Arabidopsis thaliana: one gene and its partner. The gene in region 1 interacts genetically with each later gene. Each region holds a gene or a part of one and is shown on either strand. Other genes may lie near its edges.

What was found.
Region 2: of SUVR2 (region 1) and DML1, changing one suppresses a phenotype caused by changing the other (phenotypic suppression), as found in Arabidopsis thaliana (one study listed by BioGRID).

Annotation. Positions count from the first base shown.
Region 1 is NC_003076.8:17,696,161-17,703,311, forward strand, and holds SUVR2 (SET-domain containing protein lysine methyltransferase family protein), read left to right. Parts: upstream 1-1,681; 5' UTR 1,682-1,934; intron 1,935-2,283; 5' UTR 2,284-2,293; coding exon 2,294-2,545; intron 2,546-2,655; coding exon 2,656-2,712; exon of another isoform or gene 2,713-2,767; coding exon of another isoform or gene 2,768-2,800; coding exon 2,801-2,839; intron 2,840-2,923; coding exon 2,924-3,185; intron 3,186-3,297; coding exon 3,298-4,415; intron 4,416-4,593; coding exon 4,594-4,844; intron 4,845-4,980; coding exon 4,981-5,047; intron 5,048-5,150; coding exon 5,151-5,201; intron 5,202-5,325; coding exon 5,326-5,422; intron 5,423-5,544; coding exon 5,545-5,573; 3' UTR 5,574-5,876; downstream 5,877-7,151. Other genes in the region: PDLP1 (plasmodesmata-located protein 1), read right to left, coding at 1-298; AT5G44000 (Glutathione S-transferase family protein), read right to left, coding at 6,071-6,256, 6,348-6,597, 7,011-7,151. UniProt on the Arabidopsis thaliana protein: Probable inactive histone-lysine methyltransferase that acts as regulator of transctiptional gene silencing independently of histone H3K9 methylation.
Region 2 is NC_003071.7:15,308,260-15,316,893, reverse strand, and holds the start of DML1 (demeter-like 1), read left to right. Parts: upstream 1-2,086; 5' UTR 2,087-2,296; intron 2,297-2,538; 5' UTR 2,539-2,621; coding exon 2,622-2,755; intron 2,756-2,838; coding exon 2,839-2,954; intron 2,955-3,056; coding exon 3,057-4,187; intron 4,188-4,280; coding exon 4,281-4,652; intron 4,653-4,757; coding exon 4,758-4,848; intron 4,849-4,941; coding exon 4,942-5,839; intron 5,840-5,913; coding exon 5,914-5,993; intron 5,994-6,115; coding exon 6,116-6,200; intron 6,201-6,277; coding exon 6,278-6,369; intron 6,370-6,445; coding exon 6,446-6,514; intron 6,515-6,603; coding exon 6,604-6,640; intron 6,641-6,724; coding exon 6,725-6,807; intron 6,808-6,965; coding exon 6,966-7,391; intron 7,392-7,593; coding exon 7,594-7,630; intron 7,631-7,721; coding exon 7,722-7,779; intron 7,780-7,852; coding exon 7,853-7,992; intron 7,993-8,071; coding exon 8,072-8,137; intron 8,138-8,218; coding exon 8,219-8,333; intron 8,334-8,418; and 3 more. UniProt on the Arabidopsis thaliana protein: Bifunctional DNA glycosylase/lyase, which excises 5-methylcytosine (5-meC) and 5-hydroxymethylcytosine (5-hmeC), leaving an apyrimidinic (AP) site that is subsequently incised by the lyase activity.

The DNA.
Region 1 (7,151 bases):
TTTTGGAGACGCAATCGTAACACTGAGCGTTTTGGAGATCGCCACGGCACTGAAAAACACCGATCACGGCGGTGGTGTTATCAGTTCCGGAGGTTACGGAAGCGAAAGAGCTTTGTGATGATTGAGAAACTAAAGAAGTGAATAAGTTTTTGAGATTCTGAGAGAAAACACCAGTTGGGTCTGGAGATTTCTGATTTGCACAACCTTTAAAGATCAGATTTTTATAATCATCATCACCGGAGATTGCAAAGAATGGTAAAAAGAACCAGAAGATGAAGAATTGATAGGTGAGTTTCATAATTGAGAAAGACAGAGAGAGATTTTTGTTTCTTGATGTTCAAAATCTTTTTACTAGTTTGTTTCTGTCTAATAAAGTTTGTGTTGTTTTTATGTGTCCGGAAAAAAGAAAGTTTTCCGTTTTTTTTTTGTCTTTTGTTTTGAGGTTTAAAGACAAAAAAATGTAAATAAGAGCAGGTTTTGTAGTATGAAACCATGAAAAATAAAGGAGTATACTTTTCTTTGGATCTTGCTTCAAGGGTAAGATAAAAAAGAAAGAAACTTTGAGACGACAAGTGTTTATTATATAGATTTGGTTTAGGAGATTATGTAATACAGTATCAAAAAAAAATGATTACTGTTTCTTCTTTTTTGTTGTTGAATTTAGTGAATAACCTTTAATGCCATTAAATCTGACTTTATTGTCTGAATTTGGATTTTGTTTTAGGACATTGATGGAAAAACACCTTTTGTGTATATGTATTTTTTGTTTAAGGCACTAAGATATATTTTGATGAGTTTGATTTAAATTGTAGGCTGATACGAGAAGGAAAATAAAATCTTAGACCTTGTTGTAAATGTGAATGATTGATTCGATTTTATTTTGTGTCCAAAACAAAACAAAACATGATCGTTTTGAGTTTACATAATTTCAGAACATAATTGCGTAGTAACTGGAGTAAATAATAATAAACCTGTGTGTTTTTGTAAACTACAAAAGATATTATCACTATGATTATTTTGAGTTAATGATAAGCATGATTGTTTTTGCAGGATTTTGGATTTCACATTCTATATGATATATTTTGAGTTGGTGAGTGTGGAAGATTTGTCAACAACCCTTGATCTCACAAGAACCAAATTGCCTTTGTGTGTTTGGATTATAGCTCTCTTGGAACCTTTGTTGATGTATTTTACCTATGCTTTTGCTTACCTTTTATGGTATTGGGGAATGCCTATCTTTGTTGTATGTTAAAACTTTGTGATCTTAGAATCCTTCTACCTTTGTACTTGTTTTCTCTTGTAGATGAATGAAAACAAGCATTTGCCCAAAAAAAAAAAAAAAAGATTGCTCGGAGAAGTAGAGGTGTTCCCCAATGTTTCAAAATCATTAAGAGTTAAAGACTACAAAAGGAAAGAACTAATACTGTATACTGTAAAAGATATGTGAAACTCTTAATTAAGTATAGATTCCCTATACAATATTAGTGAATAATTTTTATAAAATAAGGTTACCAGAACTGCCTGCATTGGATTTAAATACCGGAGAATTTGAGACATACATAGTTACATACACATGATAGTAGTAAGATCAAAAACAAATCTTAAGAGGTCAATAAGATTCGCTTATTTATTGAGTTTGACCCGACCCAATTAAGCCCGGCCCATTAAGCAGAGAAGAAGAAGAAAGAGAGAGGGTCAACAAAAAGTCACAGTCGAACAAGATACTGAGAAAGAAACGAAATTTCACCTGGCACTGTCCTCGCGTGTACTCTCACGCGCCGACGTAATACTCTGCCGTCGTCACCGACATTGTCTCTACGCCGTTGTCATTTGCTTATTACGGCCAAGATTCTTCACTAAGTAAGTCAAAATCGTGGAATCCTTTCTCTGTACCGAGCTCGCTTTAAACCCTAACCCTCTCGTCTCTGTACTTAGTAAGTTCTTCTAATTTCCGACGAAAGTCTTCTCCTTTTTGAGTCTCATCGTCATCTGAAAACGCTATTAGCTCTCTGGAAGAGAAAAAACAACGTTTTGTTAGAGTTTCTTTGTGCGATTGTGTTTTCTTAAGAGGAAAGGTTTCAACTTTCTTAGGATATTCAATTTCTGAGTCTTTTCTGCTACTTGTGGTTAGTCTTTGCTGCTAGGTAGATGTCTGTAGTCTTGGTTTGTTGTTGATTTGCTTTAGGTCTGTCTTTGCTTATTGTTGTAATGTTTTGAGTTCTGGCCACATTTATTTCCTTACTGAACGGCTCTTCACATCTTGTTTCTTCCGCATTTTGATAGGACGAGGCAAATGAGAAGTTACAACTTGTTTCACGAAAGCAATCCCACAATCAGTTTTAGTTTTGTTGGTGCAGAAACGATGGCACCTAATCTGCATATCAAGAAAGCATTTATGGCTATGAGGGCTATGGGAATAGAGGATGCGCGAGTGAAGCCGGTCTTGAAAAACCTTCTCGCCCTTTACGAGAAAAACTGGGAGTTAATTGCTGAAGACAATTACAGGGTTCTTGCTGATGCTATCTTCGATAGCCATGAAGATCAGGTATCTTTCTTTGTTCTCTCTTTGATCTACTGTTTTTTTTTTTGTAAATCTGTTGTAATCATTGTCTTTGTTATTACCTTGACATTCCATATTGATTTACTTATATAAAGGCTATTCAAGAAAGCGAAGAAAAGAAGGCAGACGAAGTTAAAGAGGATGAAGGCTGTGTATGTTTTTTCCAAACAATCTTCCATTTATTAGTTCAATGTTGCTTTATTATCCATGCTTCACTTTGTTGTTGATCCAATCTTTCAGGCCGCAGAAGTTGACAGAGGAAAGAAAAAGCTCCATGAAGTATGGCAAACTGAATATCTTTGCTGTGTTAGAGTAATGTGTCTTCATGTTCTTGTTTATTCAGTTTCTGTTGTGTAATATCAGTCTATCGAGGATGACGAAGATGTTATGGCTGAGTCTGATCGCCCTTTAAAGAGGCTGCGACGCAGAGGTGAAGGAGGCTCTGCTTTGGCAAGCCCTAGCTTGGGCAGTCCGACTTTAGAGGGACCTTCAATTAATGACGAAGAAAATGCTCCGATCCTATTGCCATATCATCCTGTACCAATTGAAAATGACCATGATGCTGGTGAGCTCATTCTTACAAAAGTCGAGCCCATTACAAATATGCCTCTCAGTTCTATTCCTGGTACTTTTTTGTAAATAGGAGTAACTAAATCTTATTTGCATTGCTCATTTTGTTGTTATGATTGTTGAAGCTACTTTCTCCAAAACTAATGTGTCTTGTACGTTTTCTGTAGATTCAGTAGATAGAGGGGACTCTTCCATGCTTGAGATAGACAAATCAAATGGACATGTGGAAGAGAAGGCTGGTGAAACAGTAAGTACTGCTGATGGTACTACCAATGACATTTCTCCTACAACTGTTGCGAGATTTAGTGATCACAAGCTAGCTGCAACCATAGAAGAACCTCCAGCACTTGAATTAGCTTCTTCTGCTTCAGGCGAGGTGAAGATTAATCTTAGTTTTGCTCCTGCAACTGGAGGATCAAATCCCCATTTACCTTCTATGGAGGAACTACGAAGAGCAATGGAGGAGAAGTGTCTCCGATCATACAAAATACTGGACCCCAACTTTTCTGTGCTTGGTTTTATGAACGACATCTGTAGCTGCTACCTGGACCTGGCAACAAACGGGAGAGATTCAGCTAACCAATTGCCAAAAAACTTGCCGTTTGTCACAACGAACATTGATGCATTGAAGAAATCTGCAGCAAGGATGGCTTATACTTCTCAGGCCAGTAATGATGTTGTTGAAATCTGCAGCAACGAACATATGCGTGATGCTGAAAACGGTGCAGTTGGTGATTCCATGGCTTTGGTAGTTGTTCCTGAATGCCAACTTTCTGCAGATGAGTGGAGATTGATAAGCAGCGTCGGGGACATCAGTCTAGGGAAAGAAACTGTTGAGATTCCCTGGGTGAATGAGGTCAACGACAAAGTTCCTCCAGTTTTCCATTACATAGCCCAAAGTCTTGTGTATCAAGATGCTGCAGTGAAGTTTTCGCTTGGGAATATCAGGGATGACCAATGCTGCTCCTCTTGCTGTGGAGATTGCTTGGCTCCGTCAATGGCATGCAGATGTGCAACTGCTTTTAATGGCTTTGCATACACAGTAGATGGCCTCCTACAGGAAGATTTTCTGGAACAGTGTATCTCTGAGGCCCGTGATCCGCGGAAACAAATGTTACTGTATTGCAAAGAATGTCCTTTAGAGAAAGCCAAAAAAGAAGTAATCCTGGAACCGTGCAAAGGGCATCTAAAGAGAAAGGCCATTAAAGAATGTTGGAGCAAGTGTGGCTGCATGAAGAATTGTGGCAACCGAGTTGTCCAACAGGGCATTCACAACAAGCTGCAGGTACATTCAACTTACCAACCTTTTTAGCCAAGTAGTCCAGGATTTGATAATCTAAACCCATCTCAGTTCTGATAGAATTGAAACTGATTATGATCATTTTAACTTGGACTTAACCAGTGGAGAGATTCTGATGCCTGAATTTTGTTTATGTTCCTTTTTTTTTTTTTTTTTGAATCAGGTGTTTTTCACGCCCAATGGGAGAGGCTGGGGACTCAGAACTCTAGAAAAACTGCCTAAAGGAGCATTTGTCTGTGAGCTTGCTGGAGAGATATTGACCATTCCAGAGTTGTTCCAACGCATCTCTGACAGGCCTACTTCTCCAGTAATATTGGATGCGTACTGGGGTTCTGAAGACATTTCAGGGGATGACAAAGCACTTTCTCTTGAAGGAACGCACTATGGAAATATTTCCAGGTTCATCAATCACAGGTAAAGGGACACTGAAAATGAGTTTGTTATAAAGTTTCATATGACTAGCCTAGATTTAGAACTCATTTGGGAAACTTATATAGTTGGTTTCACTCTCAATTCATTACTTCTAACTGTACTATGTCTATATGTGCAGATGCTTAGATGCAAATTTGATTGAGATCCCAGTTCATGCGGAGACTACTGATTCACACTACTATCATGTATGACACAGTTCCTTGTTTCATTTCTAATCATTTGCTTATAGAAGACTCATCTGTTATGTGGAAACAATAGACCGATTAGCTAATCTGTATTTTTTTCCAGCTTGCATTCTTCACAACAAGAGAGATCGATGCTATGGAGGAACTTACCTGGGTGTGTTAGAAGTTTCTCCACCCACTCTTAACAGATTTGTTTCTTTTAGAAATTTTCACTAGTTCGGGTTCAAGTCCTGTTTTCTTTGTGGTTCTGTTTGAGAAGTTTTGGACTTGACCTGCAGGATTATGGTGTCCCATTCAACCAAGATGTGTTTCCCACGAGTCCGTTCCATTGTCAATGTGGTAGCGACTTCTGCCGAGTCAGGAAGCAGATTAGCAGTGAGTAATCATCACACGATTTCTATTTGATAATCCTTTTCCTATATTTGACTGTTATCTCGGTTTTGAAACATGAGCCCTTCACTATTTTGCAACTAACACGCAATTTGTTGATGCTGCAGAAGGCAAGAATGTGAAGAAGCGAGCATGAGAGAGAGCTTTACATTGGTAGGTTTTGAAGATATGTGGTGGGCGCAAACTCCTTTTTGTTGTGAATGAATTGGCAAAAAAATTCCAATCGAAAAACGCTTTTTGTAAAAAATTCCGACAATGCATATAAGCAAAGTCGCGGTCCATAAAATAGGTAGGTAGCTATCAGGATGAAACTATAATCCTTAGAAACTGATTCACTTTTGTGATATCAAAAACTCGTGTGAATATCTTAATTTTGGTTCTAACGGCTATGGCTTTTGGTTATGACTTATATTGAAAGATCTCTCTATTTATATAAATCGTAGTATCGAAGTGAAGTCTTGAAAGTGATTTCACCTTAAGAAGAACTCCCATGAGAATCACTTGTGGAAGGCTTCTCTCTCTCTATATATATGAGGAATGATAATAGTACAAGATCAAAGCTTATTACATTGTATGATACTTTTGAGTGCTGTTGGATAATCCTATCATTGAGTTATGTACAGTTTTCTACGCTTAAACCGAAAGCTGTGCTTCAATGGCTTTACCTACCAAGTCTCGGTTATGAGGTCTCCAGAGAGAATCTTGATCGCCAGATGAAGAAATGGCCGGTTGAATTCCACTAGCGTTTAGCGGAAACAGCGTCTTGTAGTAGCCATCCATTATAGCCGAAATATCACAAGTAGCCGCAACACCAGGAATCTGTTTCAACAACAACAACAAACACATAATTTGAAACACACTCCCAGATGCAGAATTTATGTCTCAGAGAGAAGCCAGTAAGAAGAGGAACCTGGTAAATCTCGCGCAAATAGCCATAGAGATTTGGGTATTCAACAAGCTTCTTCTTGGTGCATTTGAATAGAATGTTGTAAACCGAATCAAAACGAATCAGAGTTGTGAACAGACATACATCAGCCAATGTCAACCTTTCTCCACACAAGTATCTATTACTACCCAAGTGATCCTCAATCTCATCTAAGGTACTAAAGAGTTCATTCACTGCTCCATCATACGCTTCTTGGCTCTGCGCAAACCCGCACCTTTCAAAAATCACCACACATGACACAACAAACAAAGCCATCAACTTTAGCAACAAACACACATTGCAGCATCAAGAACACAAGCTACGCAAAAACCGCATCAAATGTGAACAATTCAGTTGCTTTCTATAGCTTTTAATACTAAAGAGTTCATTTTACAGCTCCATCATACACTTCTTGGCTCTGCGCAAACCCACACCTTTCAAAAAATATCGCAAGCAAATTACCACACAACAAAGTCATCAACTTTAGCATCAAACACACATTGCAGCATTAAGAACACAAGCTATGAGCTAAACCCGCATCAAATTTGGAACAATTCACTCCATTCCTATAGCTTTTTTGATATCCCGCTTACTTGTAAACGCCATTGTAACATTCTATAAACATTGTAATGATGTTTTCCAATTTACCTGTAAACGCCATTGTTAACTTTAGGATACACAATCTGATTCCAACCTTGTATCATCTCTTTCAACTCTGGTGGCGAGAGATCCAAGTTATCATTTCGGGCCAATTTGTTTAAACCTGAATTGAAGAACTCGATAATATCA
Region 2 (8,634 bases), on another chromosome or scaffold:
TCTGATTCTCTGTTTCCGGTCTTCAGCAAGATCCGATCATTATCTCCAGTCATACAAAGATTTTTTTGATTATTTATTTTTGTATATGTTGGATCTTTGTAATGTCCAAGACCTTACCCAAATTTTTGGGAAGGCCAATATTATAAAATTATGAATAAAACAAAGAACTAAGAACTATGGGAATGATATTTTTTTTTTTTTAATATATAAACTACGTGAATGATACCATATCATAAGACAAAAAATAGAAGTATGGATTGAGATACAAGCGTGGCGTCTTTGTTTTCAAGTGACCTATCTCCTTGATTATATTAAATAAAAACTAGTAAACAGGTTACATGATAGATTCGTAGATTAGTAGTATTTCAAGTTATAATTAAGATCAGGATATTTATAGTTACAGAGTATGATCGAGTAACAAGCGACGATTTATATGAGGTTTTTAGGCATGCCGGCTTTAGACTATAGTCGATGAAGCAAGGACTTTAAGGTCGACGCCAAAATATTTTTTATATTTTGAACTTTTGAGAACCCTAGTTAGGCCTAAGCTTCACTTTGCTTGGCACACAGCCGGTTATATTGGTGGATCAATGTATGGATATTTTGTATGTTTGGAGTGATGGCTTTATCGAACTCTCTGAACACAACTCTGCTAACCATACATCCACACGTCGTGTGATAATTAGATCTTATATAATAGTCCAAAAATGACTTCCAACTCATATATTTATATAAATAGTCTTCTTTTGTGGTTATATGTTTGGTTATTTCTATTTATAGTTTAATTCAATACCAATATTACAACTAAATCAGTTTAATTTTTCTTTGATTTGGTCTTTGAATTCACTTTCATGGTCAGTTTCATTGTTTAAGATAAACTTGAATGGATTAAACCGAATTAGGCATTCACTTTTGATCAGTCTCTTCTGCCATAATCTTCATAAGACAAACCCAAATTTGTAAAAACTTTTTTGAAAAAGAAACCGTAAGTAAAAGTAAAAGCGTTTAGGATCCAAGTATGGATTAGCTTCGTAATTTGAATTAGGTTTAGCTATACGAATTCGTTTACTTTTGTACCATATTTAGTTGTATTGTTTTCAATAATAGTTTTAAACATTCGAATAATCCGTTCCCAACTTTTTATCCACTATTATTCGTCTCAGTTTCTAGGATAGATATGTCCACACAAAAAAGCTCTTGATTTTTTTTTTTTTTTTTACAAATTCCAAATTTCTTTGCTCATAACCCAATCATTAGGTTATGACCACCATTGACTCACTCATAAGTCATAAGTCATAGGCTCATAACCAATCCAACAAGTTGTTAAGATTGACAACAACGATTCACTAAGATTCCAACCAAGTCCATGAAATAAATGATTTACAATACTCATTTCTCATGTACGTCTCTTTGAAGGTTTCTTGCATGACAGGAAATCAAAGGTTAGCACACTAATTACTCTTTTTTTCACACACATTCACAGTTTCACACATATGGTGCAGTATTTTGACTCCTATCGTACTAGACTAAAACATTTGGAATGATCAAAAACGAAAGACTCGTTGGGCAACTAGCCTAATAATCACTCTACTACACTAGCTCCCATATCAGTGGAAAATAATAATTCTAAAACGAATCATTTAACTTCTGCATATGTAAACGAAAACGTGTAAATTTATGAGATTACGTAAAAATTAGCAAAATAATATATTATTGATCAAAATTATAAACGTGGATTACATAACATGTTATTTGTTTAAATCATAATTTGATGATAAATTTATAAATAAAGTTCTAATTATTTTATATCTAAAGCAAAATTAAGATTATTTTATAATTTCTATTAATTATAAAATTAGTTAGTTCATATAATTTTAAATAGTTACGTAAACGAGAAAAAATACGAAATTTTAAAGAGAAAAAGATAACAGAAAAGACGATGATGACGATGACGATAACAACGACAATATTATTAACTTTTTAAATCATCTTTCCCATAGTCTAGGAGATTTTGTAGAAAAGAATCATTATTTTTAAAATAAAATTCCGTAAAACTTTTCCCGCCAACCAAACGAACTTTCGCCCTACATAAACAAACGGTTATGAAAAATAGTGAAACACACAACAACACATGTTATATCCTCTTCTTTATACGTTAGGCCAAAAAAGCTTTTTCTATATTACTCTTTAACTTCATCGATTCCAAGAGAAGAAACGAAGCATCAGTGATCTTATCCTCTCATAGCTACCACCGAACTAACTCTCTCCATCACCACCATAACCATTGATTCTACTGGTAATGAATTTTGTTTTTTTCTTACTTTTTTTTACATTTTGTTGTGAATCTAAAAAGTCTCTCTTTCACCTAACGAACGGATTAATCGTTCATGTCGCCACTCACCCAAAATCAATGACTTCCGGAGATCTCTCTTTCTCTAAAACCCCAGAAAAAAGTGGATCTGATCATTTTATAAAATCGTGATTTTTAAAAAAAATTGGTGATCTCTTTTATTGAAGAAATTATTGAACTTTTTGCAGTGGAAAAAATAGAAAGTTCCAAGCTTTTTCTCAAATGGTTCTGATTTAAGTAAGAGTGAAGAAAAGTAAAAATAGAGTCAGAAATGGAGAAACAGAGGAGAGAAGAAAGCAGCTTTCAACAACCTCCATGGATTCCTCAGACACCCATGAAGCCATTTTCACCGATCTGCCCATACACGGTGGAGGATCAATATCATAGCAGTCAATTGGAGGAAAGGTTTGTGCTTTTTTGTTCTAAAGTTGAGAAATTTCAAAGAGTAGTGATGGGTAATTGGTTAAGTAAGGTATTGATGCATGCAGGAGATTTGTTGGGAACAAGGATATGAGTGGTCTTGATCACTTGTCTTTTGGGGATTTGCTTGCTCTAGCTAACACTGCATCCCTCATATTCTCTGGTCAGACTCCAATACCTACAAGTAAGAGGGGATTTTGATTCTGGTCTCATGAGAAATGAAATCGCTTTGTCAAATTTTGATTCTGTTTGAGTTGGACTGAGAAAGATGTGATTCTCAATGTAGGAAACACAGAGGTTATGCAAAAAGGTACTGAAGAAGTGGAGAGTTTGAGCTCAGTGAGTAACAATGTTGCTGAACAGATCCTCAAGACTCCTGAAAAACCTAAGAGGAAGAAGCATCGGCCAAAGGTTCGTAGAGAAGCTAAACCCAAGAGGGAGCCTAAACCACGAGCTCCGAGGAAGTCTGTTGTCACCGATGGTCAAGAAAGCAAAACACCAAAGAGGAAATATGTGCGGAAGAAGGTTGAAGTCAGTAAGGATCAAGACGCTACTCCGGTTGAATCATCAGCAGCTGTTGAAACTTCAACTCGTCCTAAGAGGCTCTGTAGACGAGTCTTGGATTTTGAAGCCGAAAATGGAGAAAACCAGACCAACGGTGACATTAGAGAAGCAGGTGAGATGGAATCAGCTCTTCAAGAGAAGCAGTTAGATTCTGGGAATCAAGAGTTAAAAGATTGCCTTCTTTCGGCTCCTAGCACGCCCAAGAGAAAGCGCAGCCAAGGTAAAAGAAAGGGAGTTCAACCAAAGAAAAATGGCAGTAATCTAGAAGAAGTCGATATTTCGATGGCGCAAGCTGCAAAGAGAAGACAAGGACCAACTTGTTGCGACATGAATCTATCAGGGATTCAGTATGATGAGCAATGTGACTACCAGAAAATGCATTGGTTGTATTCCCCAAACTTGCAACAGGGAGGGATGAGATATGATGCCATTTGCAGCAAAGTATTCTCTGGACAACAGCACAATTATGTTTCTGCCTTTCACGCTACGTGCTACAGTTCCACATCTCAGCTCAGTGCTAATAGAGTCCTAACCGTTGAAGAAAGACGAGAAGGTATCTTTCAAGGAAGGCAAGAGTCTGAGCTAAATGTTCTCTCGGATAAGATAGACACGCCGATCAAGAAGAAAACAACAGGCCATGCTCGATTCCGGAATTTGTCTTCAATGAATAAACTTGTGGAAGTTCCTGAGCATTTAACCTCAGGATATTGTAGCAAGCCACAGCAAAATAATAAGATTCTTGTTGATACGCGGGTGACTGTGAGCAAAAAGAAGCCAACCAAGTCTGAGAAATCACAAACCAAACAGAAAAATCTTCTTCCGAATCTTTGCCGTTTTCCACCTTCATTTACTGGTAATGAATAGATACAGAACTATATTTCTTTGTTTTTTTGAATCTGTTAAATGCAGACTATTTCTTGATAATGATGATGTTTGATTCCTGCAGGTCTTTCTCCAGATGAACTTTGGAAACGACGTAACTCGATCGAAACAATCAGTGAGCTATTGCGTCTATTAGACATCAACAGGGAGCATTCTGAAACTGCTCTCGTTCCTTACACAATGAATAGCCAGATTGTACTCTTTGGTGGTGGCGCTGGAGCAATTGTGCCTGTAACTCCTGTTAAAAAACCACGCCCACGACCAAAGGTTGATCTAGACGATGAGACAGACAGAGTGTGGAAACTGCTATTGGAGAATATTAATAGCGAAGGTGTTGACGGATCAGACGAGCAGAAGGCGAAATGGTGGGAGGAAGAACGTAATGTGTTTCGAGGACGAGCTGACTCATTTATTGCAAGGATGCACCTTGTACAAGGTTATACACCACACTTGTCCTTTTATGTGTTTCTGTTCTAACCACATGGTTTCAATTAGTATGTCTCAGCTACTGCTTCTTGTTATGGTCTTTGGTTTCTAACAGGGGATCGACGTTTTACGCCTTGGAAGGGATCCGTCGTGGATTCTGTTGTTGGAGTATTTCTCACTCAAAATGTTTCAGACCATCTCTCAAGGTACAAGCTCTTACATAATTCTATGTCAAACTAAATCCAAGACAGCAAAAAGTCACAAAACTAACTTGCTTTGATGTTTTTTACTCCTTGTAGTTCGGCTTTCATGTCGTTGGCTTCCCAGTTCCCTGTCCCTTTTGTACCGAGCAGTAACTTTGACGCTGGAACAAGCTCGATGCCTTCTATTCAAATAACGTACTTGGACTCAGAGGAAACGATGTCAAGCCCACCCGATCACAATCACAGTTCTGTTACTTTGAAAAATACACAGCCTGATGAGGAGAAGGATTATGTACCTAGCAATGAAACCTCCAGAAGCAGTAGTGAGATTGCCATCTCAGCCCATGAATCAGTTGACAAAACCACGGATTCAAAGGAGTATGTTGATTCAGATCGAAAAGGCTCAAGTGTAGAGGTTGATAAGACGGATGAGAAGTGTCGTGTCCTGAACCTGTTTCCATCTGAAGATTCTGCACTTACATGTCAACATTCGATGGTGTCTGATGCTCCTCAAAATACAGAGAGAGCAGGATCAAGCTCAGAGATCGACTTAGAAGGAGAGTATCGTACTTCCTTTATGAAGCTCCTACAGGGGGTACAAGTCTCTCTAGAAGATTCCAATCAAGTATCACCAAATATGTCTCCGGGTGATTGTAGCTCAGAAATTAAGGGTTTCCAGTCAATGAAAGAGCCCACAAAATCCTCTGTTGATAGTAGTGAACCTGGTTGTTGCTCTCAGCAAGATGGGGATGTTTTGAGTTGTCAGAAACCTACCTTAAAAGAAAAAGGGAAAAAGGTTTTGAAGGAGGAAAAAAAAGCGTTTGACTGGGATTGTTTAAGAAGAGAAGCCCAAGCTAGAGCAGGAATTAGAGAAAAAACAAGAAGTACAATGGACACCGTGGATTGGAAGGCAATACGAGCAGCAGATGTTAAGGAAGTTGCTGAAACAATCAAGAGTCGCGGGATGAACCATAAACTTGCAGAACGTATACAGGTAAAAATTTAGTGGCTAAATTTCGTGATAACATTCATTTTAAGTATTTGACTCTGAACATGAAAATCATGCAGGGCTTCCTTGATCGACTGGTAAATGACCATGGAAGTATCGATCTTGAATGGTTGAGAGATGTTCCACCAGATAAAGCAAAGTAAGTTTGAAAGACGAAGCATTTTATTTCTTCTTTATTAACCTATACAAAGATTACTACTTTGGCAGTTTTAGTGACTTAATAATGAATTATGTACTCTCGTATATTACAAAACCCTGCAGAGAATATCTTCTGAGCTTTAACGGATTGGGACTGAAAAGTGTGGAGTGTGTGCGGCTTCTAACACTTCACCATCTTGCCTTTCCAGTAAGCAAGGATCAAACTTTTGTTTCTGTCCCTATAAAAAGTGAATTATATGATGCATGAACTTAATTTATTGACAGGTTGATACAAATGTTGGGCGCATAGCCGTCAGACTTGGATGGGTGCCCCTTCAGCCGCTCCCAGAGTCACTTCAGTTGCATCTTCTGGAAATGTAAGCACTTTTCAAAATGGTCCTACTTGGAAATTGTAATTTGTTACTTAATACATCTGAGGTTTGGTTTGTCTAGGTATCCTATGCTTGAATCTATTCAAAAGTATCTTTGGCCCCGTCTCTGCAAACTCGACCAAAAAACATTGTAAGAATGATGTTTATCACTAACTTTTTTTTTTTCATGCCTCAGTCTAATACACTTATTCATTAGTTTAATACCCTATTATCTCACAGGTATGAGTTGCACTACCAGATGATTACTTTTGGAAAGGTATGTATTAAAGAAATACATATATACGTATGTCAAAATCAGCTCACATGATGAGGTTTGTAATCTGCTTGATTATTGTATCAGGTCTTTTGCACAAAGAGCAAACCTAATTGCAATGCATGTCCGATGAAAGGAGAATGCAGACATTTTGCCAGTGCGTTTGCAAGGTGCTACAACATGTTCTCTTAAACCTTTAGTACCACTATGACTCTATGAGGAAAGTCCTTGTTAAAATATAACCCAGTTAAATGAGAATTGGTCTGTATCTAAACGAAGCTCTGAATCATCATTACAGAAAATTTAGTAACATTCATTTGTTTTACAGTGCAAGGCTTGCTTTACCAAGTACAGAGAAAGGTATGGGGACACCTGATAAAAACCCTTTGCCTCTACACCTGCCAGAGCCATTCCAGAGAGAGCAAGGGTCTGAAGTAGTACAGCACTCAGAACCAGCAAAAAAGGTCACATGTTGTGAACCAATCATCGAAGAGCCTGCTTCACCGGAGCCAGAAACCGCAGAAGTATCAATAGCTGACATAGAGGAGGCGTTTTTTGAGGATCCAGAAGAAATTCCTACCATCAGGCTAAACATGGATGCATTTACCAGTAACTTGAAGAAGATAATGGAACACAACAAGGAACTTCAAGACGGAAACATGTCCAGCGCTTTAGTTGCACTTACTGCTGAAACTGCTTCTCTTCCAATGCCTAAGCTCAAGAATATCAGCCAGTTAAGGACAGAACACCGAGTGTAAGAATCCATTTTTCTCTGTTTTTCTTCGTTCTTAGGTTAAAAATGAAATCAGAAACACATTTTTCAAAATTATTAAAGCTTGAACAGAGTAGAATATTTAAGTGATTGACCAAGCATGAACTCGTAAGTTGGAAAGCAGACAAACTTCCCAATAATTACAGGCTATGCCATAACTTGTTTCTTTTCCCGTATCTTGCAGTTACGAACTTCCAGACGAGCATCCTCTTCTAGCTCAGGTATGTGAGCTAACTGGATAAGGACACATGCCGTATAGAGTGCTGTCTATATTGTAAAATCTGACTAGCTGTTTGTGATTTCTTGTGGCAGTTGGAAAAGAGAGAACCTGATGATCCATGTTCTTATTTGCTTGCTATATGGACGCCAGGTAATTTAATGATTTGCATATCTTTTAATCATGAAATCAAATCGGTATCTTTAATCGATGTGTTATTCAACAGGTGAGACGGCTGATTCTATTCAACCGTCTGTTAGTACGTGCATATTCCAAGCAAATGGTATGCTTTGTGACGAGGAGACTTGTTTCTCCTGCAACAGCATCAAGGAGACTAGATCTCAAATTGTGAGAGGGACAATTTTGGTAAGTAGTTGCATCAATCTCCTTATGCGGCTTACTACACTTATGTTTTCTACAGATTAATATGTTGTAAATTGTACAGATTCCTTGTAGAACAGCGATGAGGGGTAGTTTTCCTCTAAATGGAACGTACTTTCAAGTAAATGAGGTAAGACTTGAACTCCAATAACTCCAACTCTTTCATTTTAATTATTTGCATTGAAACTTGTGATGTATTCTATTGATACAGGTGTTTGCGGATCATGCATCCAGCCTAAACCCAATCAATGTCCCAAGGGAATTGATATGGGAATTACCTCGAAGAACGGTCTATTTTGGTACCTCTGTTCCTACGATATTCAAAGGTATAAGATTTTCTTTATTGGATTGTGATGCGATTGTTTATATAAAAGAAAGTTGTTCTAACCACTTGAGCTCTATTTTTCTCAGGTTTATCAACTGAGAAGATACAGGCTTGCTTTTGGAAAGGTACATTTTGTATTAAGCAGTTTCTTCTTGTTCTGAAACATAACTTATCTTTTGATATTATGTAGGGTACGTATGTGTACGTGGATTTGATCGAAAGACGAGGGGACCGAAGCCTTTGATTGCAAGATTGCACTTCCCGGCGAGCAAACTGAAGGGACAACAAGCTAACCTCGCCTA